Xenopus tropicalis: one gene and its partner. The protein of the gene in region 1 purifies or fractionates together with the protein of each later gene. This does not show direct contact. Links are inferred from orthologs where the notes say so. Each region holds a gene or a part of one and is shown in the gene's direction. Other genes may lie near its edges. The genes, in order: gtse1 and acad11.

What was found.
Region 2: the proteins of gtse1 (region 1) and acad11 purify together in Homo sapiens (co-immunoprecipitation; 3 studies listed by BioGRID and IntAct, counting the BioPlex papers as one, with this or other methods). This does not show direct contact. The link is inferred for Xenopus tropicalis from reciprocal best matches to the Homo sapiens genes GTSE1 and ACAD11.

What each region holds. Positions count from the first base shown.
Region 1 is NC_030679.2:74,638,682-74,643,134, reverse strand, and holds the start of gtse1 (G2 and S phase-expressed protein 1), read left to right. Parts: upstream 1-1,459; 5' UTR 1,460-1,588; intron 1,589-3,783; 5' UTR 3,784-3,825; coding exon 3,826-3,841; intron 3,842-4,453. UniProt on the Homo sapiens protein: May be involved in p53-induced cell cycle arrest in G2/M phase by interfering with microtubule rearrangements that are required to enter mitosis. Overexpression delays G2/M phase progression.
Region 2 is NC_030682.2:52,961,141-52,964,704, forward strand, and holds the end of acad11 (acyl-CoA dehydrogenase family member 11), read left to right. Parts: intron 1-408; coding exon 409-518; intron 519-1,987; coding exon 1,988-2,102; 3' UTR 2,103-2,888; downstream 2,889-3,564. UniProt on the Homo sapiens protein: Acyl-CoA dehydrogenase, that exhibits maximal activity towards saturated C22-CoA.

The sequences.
Region 1 (4,453 bases):
CACCATAAATAGTCTACGGGTTTAACCGCTTTACCACTGCTCAAGGACACCAAAGTAAGGTCTGCCTCACAGTTAGGGAACCATTGCTTTAAACTCACATCTTACTAGGTATAGATTTTGGGTAAATGGCAAGAGCTGTTTGCTTAAATTTTCCTATCCCCTTTCTGCCACAAATACTATAGGTCCTATGCTTACAATAGACTGTCAATCTTCCAATTGTGTCAAATTTACATATCAGAGATGTTATTACAAATCAGCCGTCTCCCTCCCCCGACTTGCCACAGGTACATTTCTTTAAAGAGCGCTAGGGGGAGGGGGTCGGAGGGTTTTGGGGGCCTCTGCACGCACACGGGTGGGGGGGGTGATGGCTGCAAGGGCCATTTAGGGGTGCAGGGGCCCCTGAGGCAGAAGCCCCGGTGGGCCCTGCACCCCCCAGTCCGACCCTGTTAGTAATGTCTACTGCTGTAAACATCAACAAAAAAGGAACAAAGGCACACTCCACTTCAATGCTTCTTGCACAAAAACAATGCAATGTCTACTGCTGTACCATATTTAAGATATTCAATAATCCATATAACCTCTGTGGGATATGTCACATGTATCTATGCTATTGTAAATAATTCTTTTATAAATAAACTTGCCTGAAAAATAAAAAAAACTATTACAATATTTGCCCAAATGTAACAAAAAATAATTACTGAAATGAAAAACCCAATTTACACCCTTTTATCTACCAATTTGCACCCAGCAATATGACATATTTTACTTAAAAATATGCAGTTTCCAGGCTTCAAAATAGTTTTCCCTCTGAAGGTTAGGATTTGACAGCAATTCTTTAAAAAAGTGCTTGCAGCTGAATGAATCCTGAAACAAAATCCTGGTATTTGGGCTAAACAAAAATTATATTAAAAAAAATCACTAATAACACCACAGCAACGGTACATTGTTTCCAGTTGCACTGTACTTAGACTGTAAGCTCTACCGGACAGGGATCTCCTTCCTTCTGTGTCTCATACCGCATAGCACTCATACCTCTATACTTATACTAATTTATTGTATTTTTTATAACACTTGTCCTCCCTGTGTGTAATTTTTTATTATTGTAAGACTGTACAGCGCTGCTACCCTTGTGCCGCTTCATAAAGTTATACATACATACTGTATATGTACATTGACTACTACTTGTTCCTGAACTGGCCATTGGACAGCCTGCCATGCCGCCGTATAACATAAACAAGCAGTACAACGTTCAGCGGTCCAATCACAGCACATTTATACATTTACATTGCGGCCGAAAACTACGCATCCCATTAAGCTTCAGTGCACGTTTCTTACGTAAAATGTTGAATGACGGGAAATTCTTTAAACCATCCAATAGCAGGACGCGCAGTGGTCGTCACGTGATAGGTTGGGATTACTTGGAAGTTTGAAATCGAGAGGCAATTTCCTTACCATACGAGGCTTGTTTGGTGTTGGTCGGGCGGATTAGTGGCTCGCACCTGTGCATTAATTCTACCCTTTTCGGACACACTCACAGCCAAACGGGTAAACGCAGCGAGTGGTGAGATACAGATGCGTGAAAGACTACGTGAGTTTCTCTAACACTTGCACAATTGATTACACATTTTCTCGAGACTTGTTTTTCAGCGGTGGTCTGTCAGACTCATGTTAGCGGGGTATGAATGCCAGTGTAACATTTACATCCTCTATGATACTTTCTATGCTATGTGTCAATACGTGAAAGTATGAACCGCTGTAGTATCATCTAAACTTGGAATGTAATTCGGGGGGGGGATCGGGTTGGCTGCCTATGTCTGGGGATCTGACGCACACAGACACTGGATCTGTTAAGCGTGCCTTCCCCCCGACTTCATTTATTAAGTGACAAATAATGCGATTTTTCGGGGCACCGGTATACCATGGGATGGAAGGGAGGAAACCTTCTCATGAATCTGCCCCCTCCCACTGTCATGGTGGCTCCTTAGTTTATCCTTATATAGTGACTTTGGAACCCCCTTTCTGCCCTTTTTGTGTATGCTGGCCTTTTAAAGTGGGAATATATTCATTTAATCTATTGAATGGACATTGAAACCTAAATTCATTGGGGATGCAAGAATGCACTCTAATGTGCAAGTCTGTTTATGAAAAGGAATGCTAGGAAAGTGAAGTAGGATGGAGGCTCACTGCTGTTTTAGAACATTTCCTGTGCATTTACCTATGTTTTTCTTTAAAATGCCCATAGAATTAAAAAAAAACTTGAATTCTCTTGAGAGGTGCCTAGCACATTGGCCTGTCCATACAGAATTAAGCTTTCCTTGTACTTTTAGGTGGGAGGGATTTGCTTCTGAAAGTATAACATAACATTTAAAGATTAACAAAACCCATTGTAGGCATACAATGCACACACATTTTTTCACTCTCCTCTCCACGAGGCTAAAAATACCTATCTGCTCCTTTTTATTCATCTGAAAGAGAATTGATCTGCCTTTGGCAAGCATTAGTACTGTCTGGTGAGTATTGCTTGGAATGGCTAAACAGCTCCTAAGAGTGCTAATGTCTGTTTGTATATATCCTTTTCAGGTCTGAAATAAGCTCAAATGAGAAGCCAGCAAAAGCAAAGGGTTCCCACTTTTTACCCAGTTAGTGAAATTCAAAGACACTTTCCATATCATTCTTTTTTACTTTTTGTCCAATAGTTGATTCACGTTTTCCTCACTCTTTTCAGGTTGCTCTGTCCTGAATCAGAATGCTGTTACCTGACCAGTAAACCAGGTAGCTGAGCCAGGGCTTGGATGAGTTAGATAGCCATTTGAATCCATGCTGCTCTCCTAAATCACCCCACAGCTTCTCTTGCCAGTCATAACTGTGTGCTGCAATTTTTCTGCATATGCTGCTCAGGCCATAACAGTTTGGAGGGAGGTGAGAAACTCTTTGCAAGGCTGTTGGACACAGGATTCTCGCCTGCAAGCTGAATGTCACCCCAGGCCTCCAGCTGGGTGGCTGTAATTTAAGGGCAAGGGCACACAAATGGTTGCTGTGCTTCTCTCCACCTGCGTTTTGTAAGTAAGTGTAGAGAAGCAGACCAAACACTTTGGGGGCCCATTCATTAAACCACGATTTTTGGGTGGTTAAAATCACGATTGGAAAAAATTTGGAGTAACCACGATAAATTTCTGATGTTTGAAAATGTCACAAATTGTTTTTTGGTTTTTTTTTCGGTCGCACAAAATATCATGCTTGCATTCCTAAAGTCACAAAATTTTTGGATCCGAATGTTTGCAAACGGCACGAAAATCTTTCTGGCTTTGAAACCTTCAATGTATGATTTTGGAAGCCTTCCATTGGACGCAATGGCACTCTACAGCTCCTACCTGGCCAAAAGATAGTCACGATACCAAAGCTTGAATGAATTCCAAAATGGTTGTAGTCTTTGTTAAAAATACAACTTTTTAGTGGAAGTTAAAAAAACCATGAGAAAGTTGTGGAATTTTGACAAAATTATTGTGGACAATAAGTTCTATAAATTCGAAAAGATAAGATTTAAAAAAAAATTAAAAATAATCGTGGTTTAATTAATGGGCCCCTTTGTCTGTCCTTGTTATAAAACAATGAAAGAATGGTCTTGAAGAGCGGGCAGTAAGTTTAGTTTACAGAGGTAGTGCACAGCAAAGGCAAGTTACAGGTATTTGGAAAACATCTGAAATGTAAAAATCTATAAAAAAAATTCCAAATTCTCTTTGCATCTAGTTAAACCTACAGTTATGACTGTGTGCTTTCTTTTAGGTCACCAAAAGTAAGATAAAAACATTTGAAAGGATTATCACAATGCAAGCTGGAGGGGGTAAGGCATAGCTCTCTTTAATTCTGATGTCCTTATTTCTACATTCTGACACTGCTTTAAGTAATTTTGCTGCACTGGGCTCAAAAGTACCATCAGTAGGGTTCAGGTACCTTAACAGAAATTTCCTTTACCTTTTACTTTACATTTTCTTCTCATCATTCACTGCCATTGTCCTCCCAGAAGTTGTGTGGTCATTCTATTTAATATTCAGAGAACCTCAGTGATTTTGCATTGGATCAAGGGTTAATTTGTATTCCCTACCAACATCGATACATGGCACTCTTTTCTAGTGCCATTGAATTGCAGCCATTGCGGATATCTGCAAGATGTTGAGTCAGTTGAAATAAAACAAAAATGTTATTAGTCTAAGGATGCTCAACTTACTGCCATCCACTTTCGGAAACTTCTTTGTTGGTTGGTTGGGTGTTTTCAGCAGCTGAAAGGCCACAAATTAGACTTCCTTGATTTAACCCTTCTGTTAAGGGTTACTCAAAAGTAATGCTTTTTATATGATTATTAATTCTATAAACTGTCTCACAAGTCTTCCGAATGTGGATCCACCCCTATGTTTATTTTGCCATCCGCACAGTGCACCATGTATCAGATGAAAGG
Region 2 (3,564 bases), on another chromosome or scaffold:
CAGATGGAAATGCCTGTGGCAGCCCCCTTATACTGCCAGCCTACTATCTATAAACAGAGCAGTGGCACTGATTTGTACAAGTGGAGTTCTAGATTTTGCAAAATACCTTATCTTCTATATAACCAAGCTAACCATAGTGGCTGTTATGGTGCAGTAGTTTGTACTGGATGGCTTCTGCCAGCCCATATTTGCTGCACTAGCCAACTGTCACAGACTGATTTTAACTATACTATAGTCTCATTCTGTCCATAAAGAAACTGAATGTTTATAGAAACAATATATTTTGTAAGAACGGAAACTTTAATGTGAGCAGCTGCTTAGTTTCCTTGCATAGGAAATACATGTGAGATCTATGTATTATACAGTCCACAATGAATCACACTGCTGAAAAGATTTTTCCTGTTGCAGATTGCTATGATTAAAGTGGTTGCTCCAAGGATGGCGTGCAAGGTTGCAGATCGTGCAATTCAAGTGTTTGGTGGGGCTGGGGTTTCCCAAGACTTCCCCCTGGCATCCATGTAAGTAATTCTCTGGAAATAATTCATTGATATTGTTCTTGTAGCAAGATGAGTGCAACTCTGATGTGAAGGGAAGATTTACTGAAGATTTAATGGAAAGATGATTTGAATTTACATTTAAGTAATCTGTGGTTATATATATATATATATATATATGTTCCCCCGAGCTGTGTGCTCTCTTGCACGTACCAACGAGTGCACAGAAGACAATATTATTCACACAAAAAAGAAATGAGAGGGAGTATTGATGTAAATGGAAAATCCCTAAGAATGACAGCCCCTCCTGGAATGTAACAAGACACTGAGAAAGCTATTATAGGCAGGTTTAGTTCAGAAAACAAACTGACACACAGCAGTTTCTTTCCAAGGAAAAGCTGTTTCATAGCTCCAATTCAATCTGTTTCCTTTTTCATTTAAGCACATCCTTCCTCTGAATCAAAGAGCAATAATTTATCACTGTGTTTTGATCCACCCCCATTCAAGGTTCCAGGTTCCTCACACTTCATCCTATTTCCCCAAAAGGAACAATGTGCTTCTCGTCTGTTTGTCAGTGGAAGGGATTATTTATTTACTGTTTATATTGCACATAGATGTACGGGGACAGATTTACATCCTTGCCAGACTTTTCTATACAATTATATAGTTTGCAGCTGTTTTTACCGGACTTTGTTTATTAAAGGGGTTTATATTATACAGGCATAAAGGCACCAATCACAGACATAAAGATTGTTTGCCAATTGCTTAAGTTGTGTCCTCCATTTAGTCTCAGGGGATATTCTGATAGAAATGTGAACCATTTATTTATAATATAGGTATTATTGTTATCCAGAATGCTTGGGATCTGGGGTTTTTCAGATAAGGGGTCTTTCCGTAATTTGGATCTCCTACCTTAAGTTTGCTAAAAAAAATGTTTAAACAGTAATTAAAACCACTAGGATTGTTTTGGCTCCAATAAGGATTAATTATATCTTAGCTGGGATCAAGTACAAGGTACTGTTTTATTATTACAGAGAAACAGGAAATAATTTTAAAAGATGTGAATTATTTGATTAATATGGAGTCTATGGGAGATGGCCTTTCCGTAATTCAAAACTTTCTGGATAATGGTTTTCCGGATAAGGGGTCCGATACCTGTACTGTCTACTCTAGGCCACAGGGATCTTTCCATGGCTGGTGGCGAGACTCTAATGGGCCTCTATCTTAACAAACACTAATGTAAGGTGATTTGCAGAAGGAACAGTTATTACCATTCTAATTACTGTGTTTCTTTTGATTTATCACTGCTTAATACATGCACTAGTGGATGTAGTAATGGTTGAAGTATTCACTGGTAACATAGATATTAATATTCTGTTGCTAAACAATATAATTGGTTTCCATTACACTCAAATTGGTCTTTGTATTTATCATGTGTTTTTCACAAGCAGAATGTAAGTTAAATATATACATATATGCTGTGTGTTTTGTAGGTATGCAGCTATTCGTACTCTCCGTATAGCAGATGGTCCTGATGAAGTGCACCTTTCAGCCATTGCAAAACTGGAATTATTGGAACAATCAAAGCGGCTTTCTGCTAAAATCTGACAGCTGGATTGTGTTCAAAAAATGAAATCGAATGACATAAAGAAAAGGTTCACTGGATGCTTGACTGTGACTTGGCCACCTGCGTGCATGTGAAGATCTCATAAAATAATGCCAATAGGATGAAGTATCACAGATCTTATCTTAAGAAGCTGATGTTTAAAGGGGCACTTGGGTTTTTTTAACTGGATTTCCCTACCATATATTGACTGACCTAGTTTCTTATAGTTATAGCCATAAAACAGGGTTACCCAGACTTTTATTGAACCTATTGCATCAGGATGTACTTCTCCATTAAACCTGGAATTTCACTGCTTTTATAGAAAACATATTGTTATAGAAAATAAAAATACCTGATTCTAAACCGATTAAAGGGGTTGTTCACCTTAACTTTTAGTAACCTAATAGTAGGAAGATCCCAGAAAGATGATCTAACTGAACTGTGGACTGCAGACGTTGCATAAAATTAATGCCACTTATTATAGGTACTTGTGTCCAAAGCTGATTTTTGCACTTCTGCATAGTTGCACTTGGTGCCATTGTATCTATCCTACTTTTTGCTGCCAGTGCTGCACAAGTGCAACTCTACTACCATTCCAAGGGTTGTATTCAAATTTGCAGTTTGCACACAGCACTTGCGGTTATAAGTGACCTATTTTGTTGTTTTATAGTTTCCACGAAAAGGGAGCCAATAATTTCCTGTGCTGATTTCTGTCTGGCCAATCCAGCCGGACGTGGGCAGGCACCATGTATAATGTTCTGTCTGACCAGAGCTGCCAGGTCTAATTTGCAAAACAAGCCAAAGCCAGTCACAAAACTAGGCCAAAACCAGCCAAGAGCCATTTCCAAAATAGCCCAAACACAAGCACAGTAGTAGATGGCAACATCTTCATACATGTCCACTTTGTGGCAGCACACCCTCAACATATAACACTAAGCATTATATGACAGACATTATGGTGGTTGATTTAGGTTTCCACTGTGTGAAATGCTTGGGGAGCACTACACTCCCTAACCCCAGGCAGGATACACATATGTTTAATGGCTTTTTATTGTTTATAGCAGCTGGTCAACTCCAGATTGTGGGTTAGACCGAGCACTGGCACAATAGTGTGTTTCTAGCAGCTGGTCAACACTACAGCGTGGGTTAGACCAAGCGCTGGCGATTCCTTTCTGTGTTAGGATACACATATGGGTGTGTTGGATTACAACTCTCAGTAACCCCAAGATAGCCTAAGATTTATAGTCTAAGGATCAACCACAAAGACACCCACCAACATAATTTAATGACATCATACATTCTTTGTGCCTTTCTCATTCTATTGATATTATTTTTTTAAGTTAATCACAAGAATAGAAAGTGAAATGTGATTTCTCTTAGCAATGCTAGTGATTAAATAATAAAATGGAATGAAAGACATAGGTGAAAAAACTGCCATTTGCCCCTTAAACAGCTAAAGCTGCC